Linked DNA regions of Coturnix japonica. The protein of the gene in region 3 binds, or shares a complex with, the protein of the main gene of each other region. Links are inferred from orthologs where the notes say so. Each region holds a gene or a part of one and is shown on either strand. Other genes may lie near its edges.

Region 1 (7,236 bases), on a different chromosome or scaffold from region 3:
ACTTTCCATTATTAAATTACTTACATCAGTCTCTTCGTCATTAGAATTATTATTTTTTCCCTGGTATTAGAAGTTCTCACGTTCCATGTAGCAGCATGTGTTTTATGCTTGCTTGCTTCTTGAAATGAAAACTTCCTAATACGGAAGTTTACTTACTTGTAAACAAACAAAATTGTTTTTCTTCTGAATGTATATCTCTTCCCATGTCCGTTTGATTCTGTAAGGCATAATCAGCTACGCTGACGCAACTGAGAGCATGACACAATTACAGAGACTATAGATTGAAAAAGAGGAGTTGGGTTCAATTGATCCATGTTCACTGCAGAATAGAAGAGGCATGTAAAATTGTACTGTGACTACTTCATTAGCGGTGTACAGCAGAAAAGGCAGCAGATCCTCAGTTTAGATTCTCAGCGTGCAGTTTTGGTAAAGAATAATTCTACTTGATAATCTTGACATACAGCATACAGAATATTCAGTATTATATACTTACAGTCTCGTGTGGAGTTAAAAGATGGAAGTGTGTTCACATGTGTATTTGGCCTTAGGTTATGCTGATGGTGCTACAGCAGGGCAAATATGGCTACTTGTAGCCCAAGGTCACTTTCAAACTACTTCAGAAAACCAGTCAGTCTGACTTTTGAACTTGTTTGTTTACATTTTAGCATGCAAACTTTCTTCCAGTGTTGCACCAAACAGAGGTATTTTAGCGTGTAATAATTTAATGCAAACAAACTGGAAATTACCTTTCAGAAATTAAGAATGGCAGATGACTGTCAGAAAAAAAGAACATGTCCTTTTCTGAAGGAAACTCTGTGTCAGTGCTCAAATGAACACTTAGTACCAGCTGAATGAACTTCTGTACTTACTGTTCCTTTTACTTTCCTGGATTGTAACTGCCACTCCCTAGAGCCATGGTGCTGACTGCAGTACCTGCCTCTTTCCTCTGAAACTACTCCATGAGAAAGAGAGAGGTGTAAAGTACAAGATACAACACAACCTCTAGCGTTCTGCTAACAAGGGGGTGTATCAGATGATTAGCAAGAATTTCTTGGCAGTAATCCTGTTGACCTTGTAACTTGCAGCTTACAGTCTCACTAGAACTGTGTTTCTCAGCACATGTGAACTCCGTGTGGGTTCTGCCTCTTGAGAGGTGTGTGCAATGTTGGAACGCTGACTGTGGTGGAATAACCTATGTGGGCTTCTGTACCTTACTATGAAGTATTTATCCTTGTATGCACGTTGCAGATGGACAGGTTTTTATTTGCACTTCCTAAAATATAATGCAGCACTAAAAAAATCACAATATGAGGTTGGAGTACAGTTTGAAATTTTATGTAAGCTGTAATACAAAGGTGGCAGCATGATCTCTGCCCATATCTGTCATGGTGATGGAGCACAATTGATGTAGCTAATCTTGTTCAATCAGAAGGAGGTCGTTCTTTGTGTGATATGTGCCTAGCAGTAGAACTCAGCATGTGATGTTCTGGATGCTAAAAAGACGCATGTGACTCCAGAGGAGATGGGATGAGTTCATAAGGAGGTGTTCACTGGGCATTGTTACTTACAGGAATTGCCTCTGGCTCAGGGAAACTCTGAGCAGTGCATCGGTAGAGGCTGGAAGAAACTTCAGACAAATCACACTTGCTCTGATCTCATAGTGGTGGTTTTCCAGTTTTGCTATTGAAGAGCAAATGATACCTTCTCATTTCTCCATTTCATACAATTTTTAGTTTAATCCATCTAGTTGGACAAATTGTCTATTTTTGCTTCTGTTTTTATAAGAAAAAGGTACTAATCTGAAAATTACTACTGATGTGTGCCTGGAGCTGTGAAAACCTAAAACTCTTAGATGTTAGGATGCTATGGATCTATCAATGCTATCGTTATTATAGTTCCATATCACATAAGGGGTGGGAATTCTCATATTAGACGTAGGGATTTGTCCTGTTACAGAATTCCCTGTAGGTGTAATATAGCAAACGCTGCCTTTCCTTATCTATCTTCTGTTTTGAGGCTTAATCGCTAATTATTTGTTACAGCCATCTATCAGCAAATCAGGTTTTTCTTCTAAATTGCAAATAAAAAGAGACAAGGGAGCATTCCTACTAGTTTATCAAGACAGTGAAAATGTAAAATTGCAAATTAATATCAAAGTGAGAAAGAATGTTTTGTCTTTAAAGTGAGCATGGACAGTTTAAGAAATAATTTGTGTATATTAAATATATTGAGCATAGATTACTCAGATTATAAAACCTAGAATTGCTTCTGTGCAGCATCATTCCACTGCTTTTCATACAGTTGTATTTCACATAGTCTTCTAACAGCTTTTTCTAGCAAGTTGGCTTTTCTAATTCCCCATGCATTATTTTTCTCAAAGATGTTAATTAGGGCTTTATTCTCTGAGTTTGAGCAGGAAGATGTTCAAGTTCTTGGGTTCTCCTGGGATTTTTTCCACGTGAATGAGAAACACATTAATGTTTCTGAGATTGTTAGACTCATGCTTTCAAATATCTTTTGTTTCAAAGGTTGCTGGTGCCCAGCTGTATGACTGGAGTCTCCAGGGATATATTGCTGTAGAATCTCTTTGGAAGGATAATCCTAAAAAGAGGAGATATGGGAAAAAAGGTGATAAGGTAAGAAGGCTGAGAAACTTGATTTCTGGATTAGGAGAAAATCTACCAGCGTGTTTTTAGACAAAGAAATGATCTTACTTACTCTGACTCAGCTTACATTTCTAAAGACAAAGATTTCATATTATATTTCTAAGCTATGGAAAAAGTACTGGGCTTATTTCAATTTCAGAAAGTGGTTGGAAGTTTAATGATATGTCTATCATTGTTTATTTGTATTAGGTCTGTATGTTGGGACTGGATAGTAATGTCTGATAGAGCAGCATGCCGTGCATCACTATGCTCAGGCAGCTATTCATAAATATTGCACAAAAAAGAAAACCCACAGAATACGAAGGAAGGTGCTGTTTTACTTCAAATGCATTTTGTAGGAAGCAAAGATTCAAAATTAGTGCAGTGTGATTGGTGATATTAGCTGACAATTAGAATTGACTTGTGAAGAAAGGGGAACTCGTTTTGTTGAATCATTACATTATGTAATGTCTAGATCATAATTTATAGGCTGCCTAAAGCTTCTGGAGTTAATTATCGTAATGATGTTTGTTTTTTATCTACTGCACGTTTCCATCAGCCCTCAGGGGCAGGCTGTCCTTGTAGTTGTACCTCTGATATAGATAAAGAAAGTTTATCCACATACATGTGGATGGCTCAGTGAATTGCAGTGTAAGACACTGAATGATTGTGCAGGTTAGTAAAATATGCATGAGGGGCAGCCTGTAAGATTTTCATGTGTTGCTTTAACGGTGGTGTTCTGGGAACAGAAACCAGAAGTACTGTCTGACCACAGCAAGATATTTGCAACCCAGAGTTCTAAGAAGTAAGTGGGATGGACATCAAGAGAAACAGTTTGCAGAGAGACAACTGCACTTGCGAGAGGGTATTGGATATTGGAATGAGTTTCCTGCGTGGGTCTAGGTATAGCGCTGGTTCCAAACAGAATGGGTTGGAGGAATGCTCACCTGTGTTAGCAGTTGCTGAGTTTTTTGAGAGCTGTTGTCAGCTGACTTTTCTTGTGAATAGTCACCTTGTTTTGACTCCTAGGCTCTTCAATTAATGCACCTGTATTACTCTTTGAATAACCAGAGGTTAGTTAATCATATTGTACCTCTCCTAAAACCTTGTCTATCAAAAAATGTCTCAAACAAATAGGCAACGTAAAAATATTTCAGGAAGGCAGATGGACTGAATCAGTAACAGTTATCTGAGCTTTTTATTTTATTGTGTCCTAAGATGTCAAAATTATCAGATTGTTTTTCTATATTCTTTCCCTCTCGATGTAGCAGGCAGCTGGACTTCTTAAGTTCAAGCAAAGTTGTGCTTGAATTCTTATCCTGGTGGTTGTAACTTATTTCCTGAGGCCATGCCAGAGCAAATGATGTTACTTGTTTGTTTTTGTGACATTTGCTCTAGCGTTTCTTTGTTGCTACATGAAGGATCCTTGCAAATAGTTGAACTGTATATGGGTGGCTCTTCTTGGCTTGTGTTAATTTGTTACACAGCCCATGATTTGTTTGATGGTCATAGGCACCACAGCTGTGCATAACTTCATGTTTGTGCAGCAGTAGGTCATTAAAATACATGTGGTATGTTGATTTCCTAAAGGTTTTATGAGGCAGTAAGCTATGCCAAATCGAGGCCATATCACCTACGTTCTGCCAAGAAAGATGAATTCCAGGACTTTTTGCTGCAGTGTTTGAAATGCTGACAGGAGCAAGTCAGTCTGTAGTTCTGAATATGTAATTTGCAGTGCAGCATTCTGGTATCCTGACACTGGCTCATTGAAGGAAGTGGTTATCAGATGAGAAGTGTTCAACTGAAACTATACAGGTACCATAAGCGACAATCTATGCCCATGTTTTTTATTTAAAGAAGGATGAAACGCTTTCTTCAAAAAGGACATGAGGAGTAGTTATTCATCTTCTGCCTATGTTACCTTGATATCAAGGGGACAACTTTCCTATGTCTTCCCCCAGACAAAGAACACAGAGCAAGAAATGTAACCAGCTACTTGGTGGGCCAGGTGTATTTGAAGCATTCTATCTTCTGAATATTTTTTGCTTACTTGATTACTGTCTCACATGAAGGGATCTCACAAAAATCAGTGAAATTACTGTTAACGTTTATCTTACCAAGTAGTCAGTGTTCAGGAAAGGTGACAGTGAAGTTCAAACCTTGTTTATCTTGGTTTGTAGTTTATAGAGAATCATATCTATGATTTTATAGAGTTTTTAGGAGTGATGAATACTGTTTGGAGCTCTTTTGAGTAGCCTTAGGCCATACCAAACTTTCATTACTGTAATTTTGCAATTATGAAGGCTCATGCTCTGCATTGGCTCTGGTTACTCTTTGTTAAGTAATTAGTCTCTTTGCCCAATTAAATCCATGCAAGATCTCCTTCCTCTACGCTTTTCTTCTTGCTTTCCCATTCAGTGTTTGCTGAACTGTGAATTGCAGCTTCTTTTTCTCCTCCCTACAGGATCTCTGTTTAATTCTCCATGAGTTTGGTAACTATAATACCTGCTCTTAGATCAGAGGGCTAAAACAACTATAATGGCTGGAGGATTTTTGTGCAACAGCTTTAAGGGCTGTAGCTCTATATGCGAAAGATGATAACTTCTTTACTGAAAGCTACTTAAACGTCTGTGTTTCAGACCCCCAGTTTAATATATCTGAGCTGTAAGTTTCTTGTTTGTCACTCAGCTCATCTGATGATAGCTGTCATAAAACACAACCTTTTTTGTCCTTCCTCTTTTGTCTCTGGTTTTGCTATTTTTATCCTCTGTACTGTTCTGTAGGGTTGTTAGCTCTCATGCTTCAGTGGTTGCAGTCATGGAGCCCTGTGTTCTTGCACCAAGTCACTTGGACACAGGTTTTATTCCAGCCATGAGCTGAAACATACTGAAGCACAGAAAAATAGTGTGTGCTTTTTCTTACCTTGTTCCAATCAGTAATAACATCTTACACAAGACTGATTCTTTTAGTTTTTCCCCATGCTGTCATTTGTTTATTTTTTAAAACGGCTTCAGAAATTCAGAGAAACTCATACAGCTCATTGTTTGAGTTTCATTCCTGGTCTAGTGATAGAAACTATCTGTAATTTACCAATGCTTTCTGCATATGTCTAAGTACATATGTATGCATGTACAGAACTACACATGCTTAGTTAAGCACAGCTGTTTGAGTATCTTGTTAAGCATCAGCTGGTCACAGAGTGCTTTCAAGCCTAAAGACTGTTCAGCTTTGGGGTGCTCATTTCCTGCTCTTGTACCAAGGGAGCAATGAAAGTGGAAGTTGTGGTGTCGGTGTCTTGGCTGGGTAACTTTACCATGAACACGATAAATGGTCATCATAGCAAACCTAAATTGTGCTTTGAGAGTTTTGAGTCACTTGTGGTTTAAGTATATTTTAGAACAGAGCATGAGCAGCTGACAGATAAATAGGTAGGGGCATTTCCTGTTAAAAAAACATTAACAATTTGGTGGTTTCTTGAGATTGACAGCTACCTGAACTAAATGATAAACATCCGCCTCTGACAGAAAGTACTGCCTGCTGTTATACATTCACTTTTTGTTGTTTGGTAGTAAGACAAAAACAGAGTAGAACTTGAAAAGGCTGCAGTTTCCTTTTGGGCTGGATCCTCAGTTTGGGTTGTGATGAATGTGGGTGTTTGAGAGGTGAAAAACGAAGAATCTACCCTACTATAGGCTGTGCTTTTTAGGGTGACTTAAAATACAGTAACATTTTTTAAAGTGCTCCATATTTCTGAGAGGGCAAATTTCAAGCTCAACTAGAAGTAAGCAGCTGAAAATGTGTTGTTATTGACTGACTGGGAGAGGATGATATCTTTATGCTAAGCAATAAATACCTGGCAAACAAAAGAGACAGAAGAAAGTGCAAATTATGTATCTGTGAGCCTAAAAAGCTTTGTTTTTCTTGTGTAATTCCTTTTCTTTTCTGGGGCCATACTCTATCTTTTGGGAGCCCCACTGCTCCCTCCCCCTTACTTTTATTATTTTCAATTACATATAACGATATAATACATCAATATAATATATCAGTACATAAATATAAATAAATAAATAAATAAATAATTATAATATATAAATATATATATATTAAGAAATATATATATATATATTTCTTTAAATCTTGTGGAATCCTGGTGTATTGAATACAGGAGTGCGTTAGGAAGATTTGTTACAATCATCACACAGTTGAAAATGTCAGTTGCATAACAATACAAAATATTTCCTCTCCTGCTGTGGGATAGAAATCTGATGCATGAACTCTGTTCACCCAGATGTGTTATGAAGTGCTTGTGTTGAGCCAGAAAATAGGAAGATTTTTTGACTATGTGCCTGCTTCTAATTACAAGAAGGCATTGTGCCACGGAGGAGGCTGTCTTTTGGGTCATTGACCTAAACGTGTTTGTTTGCTTCTAATTTGTTTTGGGTGTGACTTGAGGACCTTGGCACTTGGTAAAATTAAGCGTGTTTATATCCTGTGCCAGCTCGGAGGACTTCTTTTTCTGGCTACCTGCTTTAATGCTTTATCAGGCTCACTACTGATGCAGTAAGCACAGGCTACGGTTGGAGTTAAAAGA
Region 2 (6,586 bases), on a different chromosome or scaffold from region 3:
GTTTCTCTTGTGAAATTGAAGAGAAGTGTTTCTGTGCCACCAGTTCAGTGTTTGTTTAGCACCTGTTCAGTTGCTGCTTTGCAGATTTGTGAGCTTCTGAGAAAAAAAAAGGGCTTTTGAAATCATATTGTAGCTCCTTAGTGGAGGACATTGTACTTCTGGGCTAGCTGGGTTTCCCAGCAATCTCAAGTGTTGTGGCTTCCTTGTGTTCCTGCCCCACTGCTGTGGCTCTTGTAGGCAATGCTGGCAGTACATGGAAAGAGGATTTTCTGTCTGTTATATAGATACGGTAATAACTGCAGCGTGTTTTCCAACCACTGGTTTTAATTGTCTGTAGGAGGGATGGATCAAGGACGATGATGGGAGATCGCGATGGACAAGTGAGTTGATTTTATAAAGCTGTAGAACTGTCTTAACTCTGACAGCCTGGTTTGCTGTAGTTTCAAATTAAAATTATAGTGCTAGGAGTATCTATCAGTGACAAGATTGCCTTGCTATAAAAGTCAGGTACATTTACTGTGGTACACAGCAAACAAGTGTGTCAGAGAGGTGGGGGGGTAAGAGAGGTTGTTCAGAGAAGACACAAGTAACATAATATTAACTCTGTAAGGTGGCAAAACTCAGTCGGTGTTGGTGTGCTCTTGTGGCCTGAGGGGCTGGCAGTGAGAGGTGGCTTTTACTGCTGGCTGAGCTGTGGGATTGTGAGAGAAACTGGGCAGGGAGGAATATCACAGAGATCAACAGGAAGAAATAAAGATGGAGCTGGTTCTGTGCGCTCACACACGTGTCTTTGCCTTGCAGCATTACCCAGATGAGCGCCATGGAGGCCCCGAGCGCCACTCACGGGACTCCCGGGAGAGCTGGGGCAGCTACGGCTCCGACAGGAGGATGAGTGAGAGCAGAGGGATCCCCCCCCCATCACGGTCAGTTCTTGTGCAGATTGTGAATATTGGAAATGCACTTTTTGACGTGATTCTTTTTCACACACCTCCCTCCTCAGCCCGTTCCCTGCCCTGCACACCAGTGGCTCTTCCAGCTCACTCCTGCACTGCAGCAGTGCCAGGTGTCAAAGATGTAACTCAGGCTCTTCCTGCAGGGATGGCCGCGACTGGGGGGACCACGGGAGGAAATTTGAAGGGCACCAAGAGCGTTCATGGCAGAGCAGCGTGGATGGAGGGATGATGGGACGGGATCACGAGAGATGGCAAGGTAAAGCTGCCCTGCATGGACACAAAGCAAAACGGCTCCTGTGGGCACAGAGGAATCACTCTCACTCTTTTATAGGTGGAGGTAGAGGGAGACCTGGCCACGTGATGCACCGTGGAGGCATGTCAGGGTAAGAAGCTTAAAAAGAGCAGAGCATTTCTTTGCTTTCCATTTCCTTTCAGGGTGAGTCCCTTGCATTTAAGTGAGAATTTTAGGGGATTATCAGTTACACAATTTGTTACTGAAATGTCAAGGGATGACAGAATATTCCTGTGCTTCATTGGAGAGAACCAACCCCAAACCATCTGCCCCACTTTGCAGGCGAGGAGGGTTCATGCAAGGAGGGAACCAAAGTCAGCTGATGCACGGAGGGGGGATGCAAGGGGAGGGATTTGCCGGCCAGGAGCGAGCGAGCCGACCCAACGACCCTCGCTTCAACCGTCGCTACTGAATGTTTTAATTTCTAACGCTACGTGGCAACTGCAGTTGGTTTGTCCCTGGGGTGTCCGGCCCTTGGAGCTCGTGGGTCACTGTAAGTGGAATTTCTTTTTTAAGCTGCTGCCATACGACGTCACTCGATCCAATGTGAACTCATTTGTTTTGTAACGTGTTGTTCATATCCTCATTTAAAACTGTTTGTTAATGAAGCATTCCATTTTCCATAAATAAAAAAAAAAACAGTTTACAGTTCACGGCTGCAGTCGTCTCTGAGGCACCTACTGCTATGAAGGCATGGAGCAATGGGGGCTATTTGTCAAAACCAACCCCAATGAAACCAGAACTTCAAAGTCTTTTATTGCAGCCCTTGTGGCTGAGCTGTGGGAGCAGCACGGGACGGACAGAATGAGAGCGGGACAGAGGATGTGCTCAGCTCACTTGACGAGATCCTTGAGGTAGTTCCAGCCCTGAGCCGTGTATTCACACGCTCTGCTGGGAGCCACCGACAGGGCAGACATCAGCGTGTGCACCCCTGTAAGGGACATGGACAGTCAGCACAGCACAGCAGCAATGGAGGCACATGGCAGGTTGATTTGTGGCACCAACCCCAACCCCGGCCAGTGTGTGGTTCTATGACAAGCTGCAGCACTGGCCCCTTCCCACAAATAATGAAATGGGATTTTACCTTTATTCCAGGAATCCGAGGGGGAGAAATCCAAGGTTGGAACGGGTGGGAGCTGCAGAGAGAAAGAAAGAAAGAAAGAAAGAAGGGCAGCAATGGGGGGCAGGGGGATCACGGAGCCCAAAGGGGTTTGGTGCTACATCAATGAGCATCAATGAGAATCAATGAGAGTCAATGGGCATCAGTGAGCTCTGGGCTCTGAGCTGCAGTAAAAGCAGAGGGGAAATACGTGACAGCTTATAATAGGATCCGATATGGAAAAGCTGCTGGTTCCTTCAGGGTCTCCCTGTCACTGTGGGTCCAAACAGACCCGATGCTGCTCCTTATCCCCCCCTTATCTCCCCCCTTATCTCCCCTTATCTCCCTTATCTCCCTCTCACCTCCCATCCCACGTGTCCGCTCCATTCTCTCACCGCAGCCGGTAGCGCTTCCCGGGCCCGTTTTAAGGCCTCTGCCCCCTCGGTCCCGCTGCCCAGCAGCCCCTGATCGTACGACACGTACACGGCGGCTCCGGCCAGGCCTCCCTTGATGGCGAACCTGCAGGGACCAAAGCAGTGACTCGGTTCGGTTCGGTCCCGCCGTTACGTCCCTCCCATCCCGGGTCTGACCGCGGTCACTGACCGGATGAGCGGCGCGATGCGGGCGGCCATGACGGCACCAAGGGCAGCGCCGCGAGGGCCGCCGGGAGCCTCACGTGACCGGAAGAGTGGAGAACCACTTCCTTCTCAACCGTTACCACGGCAACGAGCGCACGTAGGAAGCTGCGGCCGCCGCCATCTTGGGGTGAGGGGTCGGGGCGGGCAGTGAGGGGGCTGGGGGCCGCAGGGCGGGGAGTGGGGGCCGCACCCGCTGAACGTGGCGCTGTGAGCGGCGACATGATGGGAGATGAGCGAGATAACGGGGTGATGAGGCCTGACCCGGTCCGACACCTTCCCGTTGTGGGGGGGCAGCCCGTTCTATCGCCTCCATCCCGCCCCGTTCCGCTCGGACTCCCCCCGTCCCCCATCACTGATCCCGTTCCGTTCCGTTCCCGCAGCTCGTTCCCGTCCCGCCCCGTCCCGTCCCGCACACGATGGTTCCCATCACGAAGCTGTTTTGTGCCGCGGGGCTCCTGGCTGCGCTGCTGTGTTTGCGCTGCAGGGACGACCCGTTCCACGCAGGTATCACGGTCCGACACTCGGTAACGGCCGCTCAGTCACACGCAGCCCCCGCTGTGAGCGCGGCCACAACCGGCCCCGGCTGCAGCAGCGGCTCCATCCGCCCCCACCCGCCGCTTCGTGCCCCGTTTCCCCGCACACTTGTGTCCGTGTGTCCGTCTGTGTGTCTGTATCTGTGTCCGTGTGTCCCGTTCTCAGAGCTCCTTTCCGGTGCCCGCGTGCTTCTGACCGGAGCCAGCGCCGGGATCGGGGAGCAGTTGGCTTATCGCTATGCGGCCTATGGGGCTCAGATGGTGCTGACCGCCAGGAGGGAGGCGGCGCTGCGGGAGGTGAGGGAGGAGGGAACAGAACGGCGGGGACTCGGGCTTTGGGCTTCGGGCTTTTGTGGCTGTTTTGTGCTGCCATCCCCTGCACTGACCCCATGTGGGTTCCCCTGTGCTGGGTTCCCCCGTTGCTGTCGCCCAGCAGCGCTGTTGCAGCGCGTGTTTCTCCCACCAGGGGGCAGCACCGCAGCCCGATGTTGCTCCTTATCGCTGCTCCTCCCCCCCACCTCACATTGAGCCATTGGCACAGCGCTGTTTTCGCAGGTGATGGAGAAATGTCTGACCCTCGGAGCAAAGAAAGTCTTCTACCTCCCAGCTGACATGTCTTCACCTTCAGAGCCCGACAGGGTGGTTCAGTTCGCTGTCCAAAAACTGGGTAAGCGGGACAAGAATGGCAGCACAGCCAAATATCTGCTGTATTTACCCCTGTATTTACTGACTGCTGTCTGTGCCCGCAGGAGGGCTGGACTACCTCGTGCTGAACCATATCGGCACTTCCCCGTTTGAGATGTGGGGCGGGGATGTGGAGCACAGCCGCTGGCTCATGCAGGTGAGGATTCCCAGCAGTTCTTGTGATTCTGCTGCTCCTGGGACAACCTGGAGGGGCTCGAAGGCAGATTCAGAGCTCTGCCTGCAGCCGAGGGCAACCGTGTGTGTGTTTCTAGGCTGATACTTTGGAGCCTCCCCTACTCACCTCAGTGTTGTGCTGACTTAACCTTCCTTTCCTCCTGTCGTTCCCATTCTCACCCCACTCTCCCTCTCAGCTCTGCTCTGTTTCTTTCAGCTCTCACTGAACTCGAAGCATTTTCTCTCTGTCTCCATCCTCCCCCTCCTCCTCCAGGTCAATTTCTTTAGTTACGTTGCTCTGGCATCAGCCGCTCTGCCGGCCCTGGAGAGGAACCAGGGCTCAGTGGTGGTGGTTTCTTCCCTCTCAGGTCAGTGTGTGGCTGCACCGATGTCCTTAGGGCTCCATCCATAGGGCTCCATCCATAGGGCTCCATCCATAGGGCTCCATCCAGCTGCAGGGGGTGGGTCAGGGCCGTGTCTGTTTCTCCGTTGCCGTTCATTCCCCACCGCCCGTTGTATCTCCCAGGGAAGATCCCCACCCCATTCACCACGTCCTACTCAGCCACCAAGTTCGCTCTGGATGGATTCTTTGGGTCCCTGCGGCACGAGCTGATGATGCAGAGGAAGAACGTGTCCATCACACTGTGTGTGCTGGGCCTCATCGACACCGACACGGCGCTGGAGAAGACCCGGTATGTGTATATACGTATATATACGTGTATATACGTGTATCTATACGTGTCTATGTGTGTTCGGTGCCGTGACGCCCGTTGTCCCATAGTGGCCGTGTTTTCCTGTCCGCGTCCCCCGCGTCCGACGCGGCGCTGTCCATCATCCGCGGGGGCTGTTCCCGCGTCCCGGAGCTGTTCTACCCGTGGTGGCTGCGCCACGTTCACGGTCTGTGGGTGCTGCTGCCCAACCCGCGTGTGCTGCAAAGCTTCTACAACTACAGCAGCCACTGAACCGGCGGAAACACCGGACAGAGCGCGGCGTGTCCAACCGCAGGCAGCGGACGCGGGGGCAGCTGGGGACCGAGGGAGAAAAACGTTTATTAATCCAAGGGGCGGCTTGTTAGAGCAGCCTGCACCGCCCCGTCCAACCCGCCGGTCCTTCCCGTTCCTCGTCCCGGTCGCAGTCATGTTGGATCCGGTTGTAGCGGAAATAAACACATGGTGCCGAGAGCGGCCATGGAGTATCAAAATGGTCTTTACAGTCAGTAAACATGGACTAACAGACACAACAACCCCCCGCTCTGGGTTGGGGGCTGCAGCCCCGACCCCCCCACCCCCATCCCACATCGCACACGGTTCCCCCCAACGTCCCCCCCCCCCGGCCGGGATCGGGGCAGAGCTTCATGCTGCGGAACCGGCCCCAGGTGGAAGGAAGAACCGCAGCGATGGCGGCACCAGCAGAACCCAACGGGGAACATCCCACTGGGCCGGGAACCGGCAGCGCCTGCACAGCGCCGGGTCCTGCACAGCCCGGGCGGCTCCAGCAGCTCCTCATCATCCTCATCATCCTCCTCTCGCTTTGCTGCCCAGGGTCCTGTTACAATGAGGAGCAATGGGAGGCGGCACCACGGGGCCTGCAGGGAAAAAGGTTCCTGTGCTTTCAGCCCAGCAAAGTGCAGGAGTTCGGTCCGCAGGAGCCCTTGGGAGGGTGAAACACAGCGAGCAAAAAGCAGCTGGTGCTGAACTCGGTGGCTGAGCCCGGGGCGGAGCTGCACAGTTCTCCTCCTCCTCCTCCTCCTCGTGGTGCCGATGCTGAGCCGGGAGTTGAGCCCTCCCTGCTCCGTGTCCATCCGCATCCTCTAAATGTTCAGGTCTGTTTGCAGCGCCCACTGGGCAGACACCGCAGCAGAGTTAAACTCCGCAATTCCAGCCCCTCCAGCAACGAGTCGGGGTCTGAATGGGAAAGTTTGGTCCTGTGAGTCACTGCAAAGAGAGGAAGGAGGGAGAACAGTCCCCACTTTGGCTGCAGACACACTTTGTTACCCAGATCCCAACCCCCGGGTCACCCCCTGGCTGCCCCATACACCCCCCTGATCATCCAACCCATCCCCAGCTCCGTGCCCACCCCACGGAGCAGCCACGGCCTTTACCTGTGCTGCAAAGGTGACTCGTGCTCGCTGGCTGCTGTCAGTAGGGATGGTTGGCATCCTTGGGTCGCTTCAGTTGGACCTTCAAACGTTTCATGCCGATCTGGAAGCCGTT
Region 3 (7,722 bases):
TCCCTTTTAAACTCCCTGATTCTGAGGATGTTAAGATATCCACTGGAAATATGTTCATCGCTATCTGCTGTGGCTTTCCTCTTTTCCTTAGGATTTCTGAAACCTATTGTGGAACTAAGTTGGCAGCCTTTTTGGAAAGAGCATTTCCCGTCACTGCCTGAGAACAATCTAGAACAGTCCTGTTCATAAACCTATAAACACTGAACCTTCCTGATTCTTCGTGTTCCAGATGTGAATGTGACCCAGAAGGACAGGCCTGACTGGTACCTCTTGCTTTTCAATGACTGACAGCACTTATCTGCCAACTAAGGGAATGTCATTTAGAAGCTGTTTATTTGACTGTGTATTCTACACATATGGAGAGAGTTTGGTGGTTTAAACCAAAGTTGGTGTTCCTGGGCTTTCTCAGGCAGCACAGTTGTCTGGATCTTGTCACAACCACAGCATAGGCGGCAATAGCTGTGTCCAAATGATGAAGGTGCTCAGTTGGACTCACCTCTGGTTTCAGCTAATGCTAATGAAAGCTGTGAATTCCAAATGTTAGGAGTTAAAAGGATTGTGTTCTGAGTGTGTAGGAAGGAAAAGAGAGGTGTGGAGAGAAATGAGCTGTCCAGTGTATCCTAGGGTTGTTCTGGGAGGCACAGGCTGGTAGCTTACAGCACTGTGAGCTGACAGAACTATAGGGAGGCAGGACAGGCAGCTGCTGCCCAGCTAAGCTGAAGTAGTTGTGAAACAATCTGGAGGCTGCGCTGCTGTTCATCTGAGCTCGCAGGAACACCTCAATCACAGCACTGAAGCAGGGTGGAGTTTCAAGAACACAGCTTGTACGGTAGGTGTATGTTACATTTGCACTGTGCTTCATGGCTCTGTTGGGGTCAGGGAGAGGGCCGTGCAGGAAGAGGCTGTCTCTGCTTATGAAGGCTTCAGAGATGTTTAGATGCCTGAAGCAGAGCAGAAGTTGATGAATCTGAGCTGGCAGTTTCTAGCGACTGGGAGCTCTCAAACACCACAGGCATCTTAGGATCGAATTGGCTGATGTTCTAGGCTGGGAGGTGGATACTCTGGTACAGCTTCTGCGGTTGTGTCCTCTTCTGTTGCAGTTCAGATCCCCCAGACTTCTACTGGCCATAATAGGCTTTTCATCTTGATACACTTAAAGTACTTACGGGCATGTGAAGTGTGGTTCATTTAAAAACTATCTGGAATTTCTTAGCCTCTTCCACACTGGAATAGGGACTGTTGACAGAGCTGCTTGACGTGCAGTTCCAAGACAGTTTGTTCCAATTCTGGGACTGTTAAGCTGATAACTGCAATAAACTGGTTTCTGAGACAGACTGTGCTTCCCCTGGCTTTGGGGAGGTCAGCTCTAGGGGAACCTACCCGAGTCATTTGGTAGGTGGAGATGTGCTGTAGGTGATAGCAACTTCCCATTAAAAGCAGTAGAAAGAGAGGAAATATGAAACATTTCAGCACTGTGTATCTCTTGCTCCAGCTGTTCCTGAAAAACAATATTGGGGTGAGAGCTCTTGGGGAATCATTGTGCAGCATGGAGGTATCAGTTTAGAATCACAAGTGTGTGCAGGGAAAGCATTTCCCACTTAGGGGAAGAAGCAGTTTGGGTAAGAACACAAAGTTCTGTCAGTTGCTGAAACTATGCAGGCCCCTCACTTATCTTCTTTTTGTTAATGAGCAATGCAGCCTCTCAGTTCTGCAGCCTGAGGACTTTGCCCTGCAGGCTCCTGGGTAGCATTGATACTATTAGTAATATATATAGAGAGGAGTGTGCTGTGCTCCTCCCGTTGCTTGATGTGAACCTGCATCAGCCACATTTTACTTGTCAAAGGGATGGATGATGTGGTGTCCGAATTGCTCCTGTTTTCACTCTGATCCTTTGCAAGTGTGGGGGAAACCTGCAGAGCCTCCCTGGAGTCTGTTGGCCTTGGACAGGGCTGAAAGCTGAATGTCTCAGCAGGTCACCTATGCAGGTGGTCAGTGTGTCCACCCTGTCCTTTGGCAGCAGGACTTTAGTCTGTGTGCTGCTCCTGTGCTGGGCCATGGGCCGACCTTCCTTCTGGTGTATTTCTTTGTATATAAGGCTTTGGGCCGTGTTCACAACGGGCCTTGAGCAGAAGTGTTGTGTGTGTTGGGGGTGTGTGTGTGTATAAAGAGCCTAAATATAGAATAAATGTATATTTTTGTTTGTAAAATAAAAGAATACGGTGAAGTTTGGCATAAACGGTTATACTTTCTTTCTTAAACGACGTGTATTACGGAGAATTAACAAAAATCAATGAGTTTAGCAGGTATTAACGGAGCCTGTTTTCGGAGTTCAATCCACACCATTGGCCGCCTCGGTGCTGTTCGCCAATGGGATCCCGTTATGTTGGCAGGCGCCGGCAGAGGGGAGGAGCTGCTCGGTGCTGCTGGGCGAGGAGGGGGGGTTGAGGCATCCCCAAGGGCCGCCCCGCCGGCAATGGGGGGCAGCGAGAGCAGCCAGGGCGGCAGGAAGGTTTCCTTCGGGCTGGATGAGCGGGACCAAGTCCGGGTGCTGCAGGGCATCAGGGTGAGGCGCTGCGGGGCGGCGGGCCCGGCCGCGGCTTGACTCGGTGGGAGTGCGGCAGCCCCGGGCCGGCCTGTGCCCACAGCGGCTGTATTTCATATTCCTTTGGTCTGTATTCCTTTGGATGCCATTTGTGATGATACACACTGTGTGTGTGCCCGTGGGCTGACCGTGAAGGCTGCGTTCTGTTGGCTTTCACAGCTCCGGGTATCTTTCTATTGGCAGCCCCTTCTCACTATGTTTCTATAGAATGGAATTATTTTGAGTTAACTGCTGCCTTTCAGGTTGGAATTAGGCAGGTGTGACCCTTAGTGTGTCCTTAGGCTGGAAGTTTTATTGCCCATTGATAGAGTATGCATTTGTGTTTCTCAGTGTTGAGGTCACAGCCTGGCTTTAATGGAAATTAAAGATGTAATTGAAAGATGAAAGGTGAAGATGCATTGAAAGATGTAACACAGCTCTGTGTCCTTGTGTGCTACGGCCATCTGCTTGGCAGATGGAAATGACTTCTGTATGGCCTCTAATGCCATCCCTTGCAAGGAGAGCAGCAGAGCACCCTCACTGTGAGGGTGGTCAGGCTTCCTAGTGAGATGATTGGTGCCCAACACCCCTCAGTGTTCAAGAGGCGCTGGGATGATGCCCAGTGATAAAGATAATGCTTTAACTTTTCGTTAGTCCTTGAGTGTTCAGGCAGTTTGATCAGATGTCTTTGGTCCCTTCCAAGAAACAGTTCTGGTTTTGCAGCAGCTTATAAACCAACAAATTAGACGCCTTTATACTGAAATACATGTACATTAAATGGTTAGTTAACTAAATGATTAATTGCTTTCTTATGTGTGTGTTTTAGCTCACTGAAGATGTAGTGAATCGAATGAAAGAATCTCAAAGTAAAAGGGGCAGCCAGAGGTCACCCTATTCATCCAGTGGTACAGCTCCATCTTCAACAGCTGCAGAAGGGAAACCCAAATCTTCTACAGGTACTGCCAGTCTCTGTCAGGTCTATTGATTTGACACCTGTAGGGGAACTGTTAGGCCAGGATTTGATCTGGTGGTGAGCACTTGGTAAAGGGATGCAGCTGGCCCAGGGAGCGCAGGCAAATTGTTTGCACCTGGTCTCCCTATGAGACCAGAAGGGGTGGAGTCCCCCTAGGCTCTCATATAAATGCCAGCCACTGAAGGGAAAGCATCTCTTGGACCTATGCTGCTTCCTGCAAAGGAGTGTGTATAAAGGAGAGCCCCTTCACCAGCTGGGTGAGTTCCAGTCTTCTTTCTGTATATGTCTATTGGCCTACCTGCAAATACTTTATGTGGTGTTGCCAAGAACACATCAGAAGTAATGTTGGTGCTTTGTGAGAAGGACAATATGCTGCTTAGCACTTCTGTTTGTGTTACATAGCATGAACTATCCTGAGAAGAGCTGCTGAAATGCTGTGGTTCTTGTTCTGTTGTTGTGGGACATTAAGGAAGACAACTTGTTTATGTAGATGCTCTTGTTTTGTCTTTAGAATGCCTTGGTTCTCAGATGCATTAAGGAACTTGTGTGACTTTGAGTGTAGAAGTTCAGATAAACACACAATAAGCAAGGCAGTAATTCAGTAATTTTTTAATGTTATCTTTTGTTTCTTGAAACTTGTTTTACTGTCCCTTTTCCATGCAGATGGGAGTATGTGGTGGGGGGGGGGGAGATGCTGCCTTTTGTCCTTTGGAAATAAACTCATTCTTGGAGGGGAAGTGACTAAACACAGGTTATATGACACATCAAGTGAACAGTGAGAACACGATTTCTGAACTTTACTTTCTTTACAGTTAATAAAATGATTTGATTTTATTGGTTTGCAAATATACTTTGTTGATAAACTTTATCAGTATGGATTTAAGGCATACAAACTAACACAAAGTTAATGAACCAGGCCTTTGCTGTTAGAAACTGGTTTGCTGTTAGCCTACATCTTTTCCGAAAGTGGTTTCAATTTTATGGATGAACTCCATTAAATAACTTAATCTCTGTAATTGCAAGGAAAGCAGGAAGACTTAATGAAGCTAGAAGAAACAACTAGAAAGTGGGACTAAAGCTATGCTTATTTTCCAGTATAAAGCAGTGTCTGTGTGTAACATCCTTACTTGGTTCAGTGTGCCTTGTTGAAGGCAGTGCTGACAGTGTTGTCAGTATCTCTTTCTTTCATTAAGTCTATTTCCATCAGATTTAAATTTTCTTGAGACTTGTCTAGGATTGTTATTTATCGTCTTGATGGAATAACATGTATTAAGTATTCTCTTCTTATCAAACAATTTAGGCTGTGTTCTGTATTACAGTTCTTATGGGTTTCTGTTCTTTCTCTCTAGGAATCCAGCCACCAGGTAACTCTGATCAGAAGGCTACAGTTGCGGAGCAGGAACTGTACAGGAGGTGAGTTTAGCTCCTTTTATGCTGTGAGATAGACTGACTCCTTTTACTGTGGTCTGTCCTTTCATCTTGTCCAAAGCAGTATCTATTTATCTAACTAACTACTTTATATCATTGCAACTTTTAGGTGGTAATTAAGTACTTAATAGAGCTAAATAACTGAAATATAAATTTGTATGGGTCTCAGTTTGCTGTTTTTGCCTGACTTGTATGTTTGTGAAAACTGCGGGTCATGCTTGAAGTTTGTTGGACTTTTGAATTACTGCTGATAACAGAGGGACTGTGAGCAGGCTTTGTGCCAAACTGGTTCTGCATTTGTGTTTTTGCCCTTGTCACGGATTGTCCATGCTAAGCCGTAACCCTGTTGCCAGAAGTCAGCTGATCGCCTTCTTTCTGTTTGTCTTTGGCACCCCTATAGGTATGAGCAGGAGCAGGCCCTGGTCCAAGAGGAATTGCTCCGGCTGGCCAAAAGAGAAAGGGAAGCAGCTGGTGAGATGCTGAGTACTGCCCTTCAGCGGGAGTGGAACAGCACTAATGAAGAGAGGAATAGAGCAGCTCAGCTGGTAAGTAACAACAACCTCCACCATATTCCCACGTGGTACAGACTGGAATCACTCTGCTTGAAGGGGTTCATTAAGTGTCACTTGTGTGTTGAGTTTAGAAACTGCTTTAGTCTGAAATACTTGTCATCTCATAACTCTACTCCTTGGCTTACAGTATAGCTGGCAAGCTGCACCTGTTGCCTCTCAGGTAGCAATTCTAAGGCCAGACTTGCAGGAAATGGCATAAGCAAAGACTGTGCTAAGGGCAGCCTGACCTGTGGGAGAAGGAGGATGAATGGTCAGTGTGCTTTGTGTGTATGGGCTTGTTGTCTGAGACGGTGTGTTCTTTTAAACTGGCAAGTGTACGAAACAAATGTTTTAGTATGCACAGGATCAAACTCTGCTGATCTGATCTGTCATAAAACTTCGCTTTGTGCTCCTGGGTTCTGGTTGTACAAGTACACAAATTAATAACAATAAAAAAATCTTGGATCTTTTATCATCCTGGTAACGTCTGATAATGTCTTATGTTGTATTCTATTAAATACTGGTTATTATGCCAATGCTGTACTGTCTGTGCACAATGCAGAGTCTTACTGGAGCTACTACTTCTTCCTGAGCTACAGTGGGATGCAAGGTGAGGCTGTGCTTCGTGCACTGAGGTCACACTGCCTGTGTGTTGAGGATCTTTGTTGAGAGAACTGGGCTAAGAGTAATTCTCTTATCCTAGTGCATACTGAAAAGACAGTTTAGGAAGAGGGGGCAGACTTGAGCAGTATTTGTTGTCTTTGGTTCTGTCCTGCTGGTCTCTTGCTTGAACTTGAACTGAAGAATCTTTGTGAGCGTGTTTTTTCTGTATGCTGAATAGCAATAGGCATGGCTTACCCAGGCATGTGATTTTTGCTGCGAAGCATTTTGAAGTTACAGTTGTAGAATGACTTGTGTTGGAGAGGACCTCAAGGATCATCAAGCTCAATAATAATGCTGGGGACTGAGTAAATAAAGTTGAAGTGAAAATGACTATGATGGTTTGGACAGAAGGTTGTTCTGGCAGTAGCCCACTTCTGAAAGTAACCCATGGCAGATGCTTCTGGAGTGCATGAGAATAGAGCAGCCACAAAGCAGTGCTTCCCACCCATATCCTTGAACTTATGCCATTCTGAGATATGGAGACTTCTTTGATTAAAAGTTTTATCACCTTGGTGGTTAACAGTCACATGCCTTCTGTGAATGTTTTCATTTGTGTGTGGGTTTGGGCACATTAATGCCTTCTGACTCTGTGGTAACCTGTAGCATGTGGCTGTGTTGGTAGGGCTCTGAGGTTGCTCTCTCACATATAACTGGAAACGTTTGCTTTCCGTATTGTGTTCTAACCATGGGAAGTCTGCCTGGTTGCTGAGCTTTAGGACAGTGATGTCTGAGGCAGGTGATTCCTCTGGATAGGAGATGTGGGTCAGCAGACACAGTGTTAGCTCTCTTCCCACTAGAAGGAGCGTTATCTTTATTAATGCAATTAACAGTTTTGTAAAGAGAGGTGGGGGAAGCTAGTGGACCTCTAACATGCAAAAGCTGTTCTGTTATCTGAATTAGCTTTTAATCCTGTGGTGTCGTGTGTCCAGATACTGCCAACCTGATGCTGTGCAAAAATCTGATTAGACTCTTCCTGAGTAACCTGTAAAATGAAAATATTGGACATGCGGTGTGGTACAAGAATGAGGAAGTGTTAAATTCTATTGCTCTTTAAGTATCTCCTGATCAGTCATAAATTTAAGACCCTTAAAAATGGAACAGTCCAGCCTAACCTTCCAAAGATGAGGTCAAAGCTATTGTCTGTTGGTTGTTAGGTGCCTTCCTAAGCAGGAACTGTTTCTGTCAAGCTTTTAAAATTATTGTGCTCCATATCAAGTTTGTTTTATCTCAGCTACAGTTTCTTTTCAGGCACAGTCACCTTATTTTGCTCAGTCCTACTCATATCATATCTGACCTTTGTCTTCCAGTATTTTCTTCCTTTATTTGGAATAGAGCTTAAATATTTTAGCTCACTCTTCTGCTTTCTAGCCCTGCAGTATTAAGTAATAGATGTGGACTGCTCTTCCACCTCATCTGTATGTCATCCCTCTCAGGTAGGAAGGAGTGTATTGGCAGTAGGTGAACCTGGTGGTAGTCTGAGTACAGACAGAACTGGAAATTCTTTGCTGTTTATAAAGGAAAGGTCT
Region 4 (7,236 bases), on a different chromosome or scaffold from region 3:
TGGATCTTAAGGACATCCCGCAGGTGATCGGCGTGGGCAGCTGCCTGCCGCCGGAGCTGCGTCCTCATTTCACTCTCCATCACCTCTCGGACCTCTTCAAGCTGTATGCAATTAAGCAGCACAATTGCACAGCAGTTGTTACCCATCAGGGTATATAGAAGTGTTACTGATTTAAACTCACGCTTTATCTTACAAAGCTGCCAAGGGCTGCTCTTACAGCTCAGCCTTTTCCTAAAGATTACAAGGGGTGGCCATTCTACACCTGAAGAAGTTTCCTTGCTCAAAATCTCCCTTCCGTGCTTAGCATAGGCAGGGGGCCCCAACCTGAAGTCCCCCAGCACTCACAACACCCTGCTGCTCCCTGTGCCCCTCTTCTAGGCGAGTTCCACCACTTTACCTTCTTCTCCTGTTCTATTTCAATCTCACTTTTGTGATGCTCCAGTGCTTTTGCCACAGCTGCCTCGAGTGCCTTTTTATCTTCAAGTTTTTGCTTCTCCAGGGCCAACTCGATGTGCTGCTGCTCCCTGACCCTCTGCTCAGCCAGCTCCTTGTTCAGCTGGTCGATGCGACGATGCGCGTGTGCAATCAGGGAATTCAAGTCGTCTGTTGATAACTGCCCAGCTAAAAAACAACAAGGCGCTATTAGAAAGAGCTGCAGAGAAGCTACCCCACCTCCTACCCCTGGAGAGCTCCAGGGCTCCATACATGGTTGACCTGTGAGCACGTTTTAAGAGACACTGATTGGTGGTAAAGCCCACCCAAATGCTCCTTTCCGAACCAAATCTATAAGAACTTCCCAGCACTTGGGAGAAAAATTACTCCAGTTCATTTGAATCATTCACATCTACAATTCATGCTGTTCAGCAGCTCTCCAGGCCAAATGTTCACAGTCAGATGTTGCTATTTGTTATCTGGTGCAGCAGGTCTGACCCAAAAGCTGAGCAGCACCACCAAGGAGCTCAGAAAAATCAACCTCAGAATCAGAGAGGAAATCAATCATGAAGATTAAATCCAAATTCAGTCCCTCAGTTTGGTGACCCAGCTCAGAGCACCCAGATGTGCTGGTGGTATCAGCAGGAGCCGGCCTCAATCAGGCCCAAAGTTGAAGCAAACCACTGTCAGTTAGAATTAACCACTGTTGATTAGGATGGATTCATTTCTGTTTCCCATTGGGATCTCAGCAGCAGCTGGTGACTGGCTGAAATACACAAAGCAAGTGGAAGCGTGGCTTTCCAATGCAAACCACACTCACCTGGCAAGTGAGAGCTGCTAGACAAAGTCTGGTTTAAGCAGCACATACAGAACTAGCGGCAAGGATCCCAAAGCACAGCCCAGTCTGAAATATTGCAGGGATATTTTTCACTGCTTTGCTGATAGTGCATGTAATTAAAGTGGTGCACCACACAAACATCAAAAAGGACAAAGAGGAAAGAGAGAATATTCACAAGACCAGAAAAAGTTACAGGAACTCACCTAGATCAGTTATGTCTGCAACAGAAAGAGGAGAGGTTGGAGAAGTTAATGCACATTCACTACAGCAGTCAGTCGTGCAATAGTACAATGGACAACTAAAAGCTTCTGGTCTAGAGTGATCCAAGGCTGCAGGAGTTCAAGAACAGACTCCGGAGATCCCTCCTTGTTACAAGCAAGATGTAACCCAAACATCCCCACCACTACAGCTGCCTTTGGAAACCCACAGATGAACCTTTAGGTTCAGTCAAAGCGAGAAATACAAGTAAAGAAGTGCAACAGGACACTGAGAATTTCCAGGTCCTTACAAACGAGCAGTTGGGTAAGAGACAAATTCCCAGGTAGCAGTGAGAGTCACTATCGAGTCAGTCCTGTACACTAAGTAGGGTCACACTGGTGTGAAACTGAACGCCTGGAAGCTGCCGGGATGTTCCCTCTCTCAGAACAGTGCAGTGCTCACAATACTCAGGATGTCCTCCCCTTATCCTGCATTAGAAATGGTAGCTCCATCTCCAGATGCCAAATCCCATTTTCTTCAGAACTAATATCCCAGAAGATTGAACATAAGAGAGACAGCACAGCAAACTGCAGTTTCTCAACCTAGTAAGTTCTCCCAACTTCTTACAGAACAAAAACCCCATGTGTTACACAGGCCTGGTGTTTTCATTTAGCTTTGAAAATGAGTTTGTGGACTAACATTCACATTTCTAGAGCATTAAGTACCATTAAGAAAGAGGATCACAGAGGATGAGCTGACTTGCTTTAGCCATAAGAATTTAACTGCAAGCCTGACTCCTTCCCTGCCTGCCTGCAATCACACTGTGGTGGTATCTGAACCTTCCAACAACTCTGAGTAATACATTTATCCCTCTACTGAGGCAGAAAGATTCTAACTGTACTTCTGAATCACATTTCTCACTTCACTTTTATCTGTTCTAAGGAAAGCAGGAAGGAGCTCCAGCTGAAAAACCCAAGCACCTCAAAAACATGAGTGTGCCAGATGTCAGACCTCAGGCAAAGAACTGTAGCAGCTGGAAAACACCACGCAGCCATTTACTGCTTCTGTGCAGCACTGGCTGTTACTCCAGATCAACTCCTGTGTCACTCTCCTTTAGAACTAACACACTGGGATAAGTGAAGTATTTAAAGAGCAGTGAATTCACTCTTTCAGTTATCTAGAAAGAATCAGGGAGCTCAGAATCAGGGAATCCTGAAAGCAGGCATTGTTACAGCTGCTCTATGAACTGCTCTACGATTGACTGCCATCGCCGCAGACTTACTGAGCCCCTTCCAGCCCGGCTGCACATCGGGGGTGATGCTCTCGAGTTCTCGCTGAAACTCCTCTCTTGCCGTAGCCACAAGTTCATGATACTGAGCCACGATCTTGGCCTCAGACTGTGCTGCCTGAACCTGTAACAAACAAAAAAGGAGACTGGCTTATCTTCCAAGGAGACTGAAGTCATCTGAGATCAAACCTGAGTTAGTGGCAGAGATCTTTATCCTCACTTGGGGAAAAGCTGCCCTGTGACATCAAGCCTCTTATACACAGTAATTATTTACCCCAACTACACAGATCCACTTCTTCACACGCACACTGTAATACTGTAGTCAATCTGTAGCTCAGAAAAAACCAACACAATATGTTCCTTTAGAGATATCCAGCTCTACACCTTCATTACAGAATGTTTTCTACCATCAGAGCAGCATGCAGCCATCACAGCCCCAGCAGGGAGCTGCCCAACCCTCACTGCGTTCTGTACTCCCACACTTCAGAGAAATTCCCCACTGAAATTCCTCCATCAGAGCAATCCATTATCCTGCAAAAGGGCATGATTTCAACTTTACTTTTCATCCTGTTTTCTGAGCCATAAAGTGATATACCCACAAAGTCATCAGCAGACTCCTCCCCAACCTGATGAATATTATAGGTGTGCCCCAGATCCAAAGAAACAAGTTTCAAGGTTAAAAAGTAATCTCAGCAATCCAACCCTATGTCTCCCATGCCCTGCACAAGAGCCACCACCAGAACAACTGGATACACTCAGTGAGAGGACACTACGCCAATCAGCACCCTGAATAGTTTGTCTCATCTTCCTAATTCCACTCCAGCATCAGACAGAAGGAACTGCAAGTCCAGCATCAGACAGAAGGAACTGCAAGTCCAGCATCAGAAAGAAGGAAATGAAAGCTGCCCAAGGAAAGAGCAGACACTGAACAAACTGGCTGCAGAGTTCCAAGACAGAGTTCAGGCTTTTCATGCAAAGTCCTTGTCAAGACAACTCACTGGTACCACACACAGCTCAAAGACTGACTATAGCTGAAAATTGTGTTTAGAAATAGCATTTAAACTAAGAAATACTTGATCTGCTATAAAGGACGTGGAAAAAGGGGGTCTCACAAGCTGCCAATCAGTCCTTGTTCTAATGATGATGAAGAACAGCTGGAAGTGTTACCTTCTTCACTACATTGTCCAAGTCAACTATCATATGATGAAGATTTTCCTCTGCAGCAATGATGTGAGGTTTGGCTCCTGGGATCTGAGCCTTCTTGGCATTCTCAATTACACCTTTTGTCTTCTCCAACTCTTCTCTGAAAAGAAATGAAGCTGTTGATTATAACACATACAGGTCTTACTGCATAACCACATACATGCATGAGCACACATCTAATAAATAGCCAGCCTTAGGAGTGGCTCTGCTGAAGAATGGAACCAACAAACAGTGCTGTAAGACTTAATTTTACATCACAGCTAGGAGAAGCCAACGATGTTATTGACTCAACAGACCCAGAGTGCAGCAAATTGAATTCTTACAATAGGCATAATAATGATCAAATGATCCAAAATGATATTAGAAGGATTATGGGTTATTGTTTTCTTCAGTCTTACTTGAACTAAGGAGCACTGTATTTAAGTATGGGTAGGAGATACAAAGAACTCACTTGGCTTTCAGAAGGACATCAGCAGCTTCATCCACTGCCCTCCTTCGATCTTTCAGAGCCTCCTCCAGAGTGCGCCACTGAGCTGATTTCTTCTCCCCAGCAGTCTGACAAGCACAGATCGATCATTAGTGTTATCACAATGCCCACGGTACAAAATTACCCATCAGATAATAACAACACAGCTGGAAGCTCTTAAGAATTTCTTCTTTCTATCGTTTTTGTTGTGGTTTTGAACCTTGACATTGTGATTGACCACTCCATTATACCCTCTGCAACAGAAAGCAGCAGTCCTACACAAAGTGGGACATGTCAAAAGCAGAAGCACTTTATTATTAAACCCTACAACGTTTCCCAAGTGGGAAGATCAGGTAAAACTGTGACAAACATTAAACCTCAGACTTTATCCTTAGTTACACGATGAACACAAGTCCCCAGCTGCCCAATTTACCTCCGAGTTGTCCATTGCCTCCTTCAGTATTTGCAAGTGCGCATTCACTGCTTGCACAGCAGATTCCTGTGCAGTAATTGCCTGCAGTGTTACACGAGCCGTAGAGCTCAGGGCTCCTTCCAGTGTTGCTGCAAGGGCTGGAAAGAAAATACTGGAATTAACTGCAGCCTCATCATTGAAGTGATTCATTATATCTCAAGTGTCTCCTTACGTTATTTTCTGTGGCTCACAAGAGGTTGGGAACAATCCTTTTGTCCCTTACAGCATGTGTAGCAGAACTCCAGGTATGGGCTCACCTGCGATCTTCTCTTGCTCCTCTTTGTCCTGCTGGGCAAGACGAGCCGCGACCTCGTCCGGCGATCGTTCTTTTATAGCATGGGAACCCTCATGTTCTTTACCTATAAAAGCAGATTATTTAAGCATCAGATCCATGTGTTTGAAGCGACAGGATTTTGATGTTCTATGTGGTATTCGTGCAATCTTTTTCACCTTCTTCAGGCTGTATCCCCGGAGCTGGCACTGACGCGGCTACCCCTGTTGCAGAGATGATCTGTGCTGCAGCTGTGCCTGCTGTTAAGTACAGTTACAGAACTGAAACATGCACATGCACTGAAGTGAGAACAGGGAAATAACAGACACTGGGTTTTTCCTCTGGAGGAACTTCATTGGGACATTCATGTTATTATTTACAGAAAAGGAGACAGCATTAATTACACACACGCAGATCTTCACCTGACATGACAGATAAGGGAACAAAGATGCCAACTGTGACTCTCTATGTTCCTTTTAATCTGGCTTTACAAGCAGCTCAAGCAATTATCCCAATTAAGGCATACTGCAGTTGCTTAAGAAGAAGAAATAGAATATCTCAAGAGCCCAGCACCCAAAGTGAGCCTTGTATGCAGAACTATGGAGTGCAGTCATTTATATTAGATTCCAAATACTCTAAGGTCAATAAACTTAATTGAAAACTAAGCAAAAATGGCTCAAGCCCTTCTAGGCAAACTTCCTTATGATCAATAATATTAATTCAACAAAACTACAGCACAAACATCTGCAACCATCCCCAAAGCCCATCTCCATCTGCTGTGGGATGTACGGTACAGGAGAACATTAGCACTTCTGCTTCTCTCCGTGTGACATTCCATAAGGTTACCTTCTTTTTCCTCTGAAGGAGCAACAGCTTCTGTTTTGCTTGTGTGGGATTTGGGAACGGGCTGTTTGGATTCTTTCATTACTTCTGCTACAGATGAGATCTTCAGTGGACCTTGTTGTATCTTGAGAATCAAAAATAAGAAAGTATTCATTTTTCAGTAACCATCGTGCAAAGCCACAAGGTAAGAACAAAAGCATCTGAGTCAGAGCCATAACTGGGCAGATCAGGATTTCAGTCTGAGCAGTCTGTGTGATGCTAAAGTTTACTCGGTGCCTGGAAGGCACTAAGAGCCTCCATGATCACAAGTGAAGAACATGCAGCTGAAAACTGCTGCAGGGTAACCTCACTGCAGCCTTCCAGTACCTAAAGGGAGCCTATAAACAGGAGGAAAGTCAACTCTTTGGAAGGGTAGATAATAGCAGGACAAGGGGAAATGGTTTTAAGTTGAGGGAGGAAAGATTTAGGTTGGATGTCAGGGGGAAGTTCTGTACTATGAGAGTGGTGAGGTGCTGGAACAGCTGCCCAGAGAGGCTGTGATGTCCCATCCCTGGAGGTGTTCAAGGGCAGGTTGGATGGGGCAGCCTGGGCTGGTATTAAATGTGGAGGCTGGTGGCCCTGCATGTGGCAGGGGGTTGCAACTCGGTGGTCCCTGAGGTCCCTTCCAACCTGAGCCCTTCTATGATTCCATGATAAAGGGAAACATGCGAGCAGCACCATTACACAGCCGTCAGCTGAATAGGTGATTGGGAGATGCTTACCGGTTTCTTTGGCATGGGCACACTGTACGGTGCAGGACCAAGGGCCATCTCAAACAGTTTGTCAGAGTAGGGAATGGCTTTCTCTACATTCTCCCTGAAGTGTGGATCGTAGCTGGCGTACAGGACGGTTCCCCCGACTCCTCCACCCACAAACAAGACGCTTGCACCGATGATTTTGCCTACAGAAACACTGCGTGGAGAGAGGGATAAAACAGAAACGATGTAAATCGTATTGCACGACAATAAAGCCTCTGATAGGTTTTAAACCTCCAGCCTACACCTGGGAACACCCACTGTGATCCAGAAGGCGGCCACCAACCCAAGAGTGTGGGACAAACCAAGGGATGGAAGGAACCACCCCTCCAACGCACCCGGACTCCCCCGACGAGGTCGCATATCCACGGCTCAGTCGAGGTGGACGGAGCGATGCCCTCCTGCACCAGCAGCTCTGTGAGGGGTGGAGG

Evidence for each region.
Region 1: CHCHD6 (region 3) and APOO share a complex: the UniProt entries of both Homo sapiens proteins name them as parts of the mitochondrial contact site and cristae organizing system (MICOS) complex. The link is inferred for Coturnix japonica from reciprocal best matches to the Homo sapiens genes CHCHD6 and APOO.
Region 2: CHCHD6 (region 3) and MICOS13 share a complex: the UniProt entries of both Homo sapiens proteins name them as parts of the mitochondrial contact site and cristae organizing system (MICOS) complex. The link is inferred for Coturnix japonica from reciprocal best matches to the Homo sapiens genes CHCHD6 and MICOS13.
Region 4: CHCHD6 (region 3) and IMMT share a complex: the UniProt entries of both Homo sapiens proteins name them as parts of the mitochondrial contact site and cristae organizing system (MICOS) complex. The link is inferred for Coturnix japonica from reciprocal best matches to the Homo sapiens genes CHCHD6 and IMMT.

Annotation. Positions count from the first base shown.
Region 1 is NC_029516.1:107,432,073-107,439,308, reverse strand, and holds part of APOO (MICOS complex subunit MIC26), read left to right. Parts: intron 1-2,528; coding exon 2,529-2,636; intron 2,637-7,236. UniProt on the Homo sapiens protein: Component of the MICOS complex, a large protein complex of the mitochondrial inner membrane that plays crucial roles in the maintenance of crista junctions, inner membrane architecture, and formation of contact sites to the outer membrane.
Region 2 is NC_029543.1:713,110-719,695, reverse strand, and holds MICOS13 (MICOS complex subunit MIC13), read right to left. Parts: upstream 3,055-6,586; 5' UTR 2,977-3,054; coding exon 2,948-2,976; intron 2,864-2,947; coding exon 2,707-2,863; intron 2,382-2,706; coding exon 2,330-2,381; intron 2,177-2,329; coding exon 2,079-2,176; 3' UTR 1,979-2,078; downstream 1-1,978. Other genes in the region: scaffold attachment factor B1-like, read left to right, coding at 338-380, 802-923, 1,097-1,209, 1,285-1,336, 1,528-1,657; HSD11B1L (hydroxysteroid 11-beta-dehydrogenase 1-like protein), read left to right, coding at 3,399-3,486, 3,682-3,812, 4,071-4,182, 4,265-4,356, 4,648-4,741, 4,900-5,065, 5,155-5,335; CELF5 (CUGBP Elav-like family member 5), read right to left, coding at 6,512-6,586. UniProt on the Homo sapiens protein: Component of the MICOS complex, a large protein complex of the mitochondrial inner membrane that plays crucial roles in the maintenance of crista junctions, inner membrane architecture, and formation of contact sites to the outer membrane.
Region 3 is NC_029527.1:7,384,273-7,391,994, forward strand, and holds the start of CHCHD6 (MICOS complex subunit MIC25), read left to right. Parts: upstream 1-2,387; 5' UTR 2,388-2,473; coding exon 2,474-2,563; intron 2,564-3,407; coding exon 3,408-3,537; intron 3,538-4,903; coding exon 4,904-4,967; intron 4,968-5,382; coding exon 5,383-5,527; intron 5,528-7,722. UniProt on the Homo sapiens protein: Component of the MICOS complex, a large protein complex of the mitochondrial inner membrane that plays crucial roles in the maintenance of crista junctions, inner membrane architecture, and formation of contact sites to the outer membrane.
Region 4 is NC_029519.1:77,503,183-77,510,418, forward strand, and holds part of IMMT (MICOS complex subunit MIC60), read right to left. Parts: intron 7,221-7,236; coding exon 7,067-7,220; intron 6,963-7,066; coding exon 6,773-6,962; intron 6,136-6,772; coding exon 6,015-6,135; intron 5,429-6,014; coding exon 5,348-5,428; intron 5,257-5,347; coding exon 5,155-5,256; intron 4,996-5,154; coding exon 4,859-4,995; intron 4,515-4,858; coding exon 4,411-4,514; intron 4,060-4,410; coding exon 3,924-4,059; intron 2,881-3,923; coding exon 2,751-2,880; intron 1,489-2,750; coding exon 1,474-1,488; intron 622-1,473; coding exon 398-621; intron 102-397; coding exon 1-101. UniProt on the Homo sapiens protein: Component of the MICOS complex, a large protein complex of the mitochondrial inner membrane that plays crucial roles in the maintenance of crista junctions, inner membrane architecture, and formation of contact sites to the outer membrane.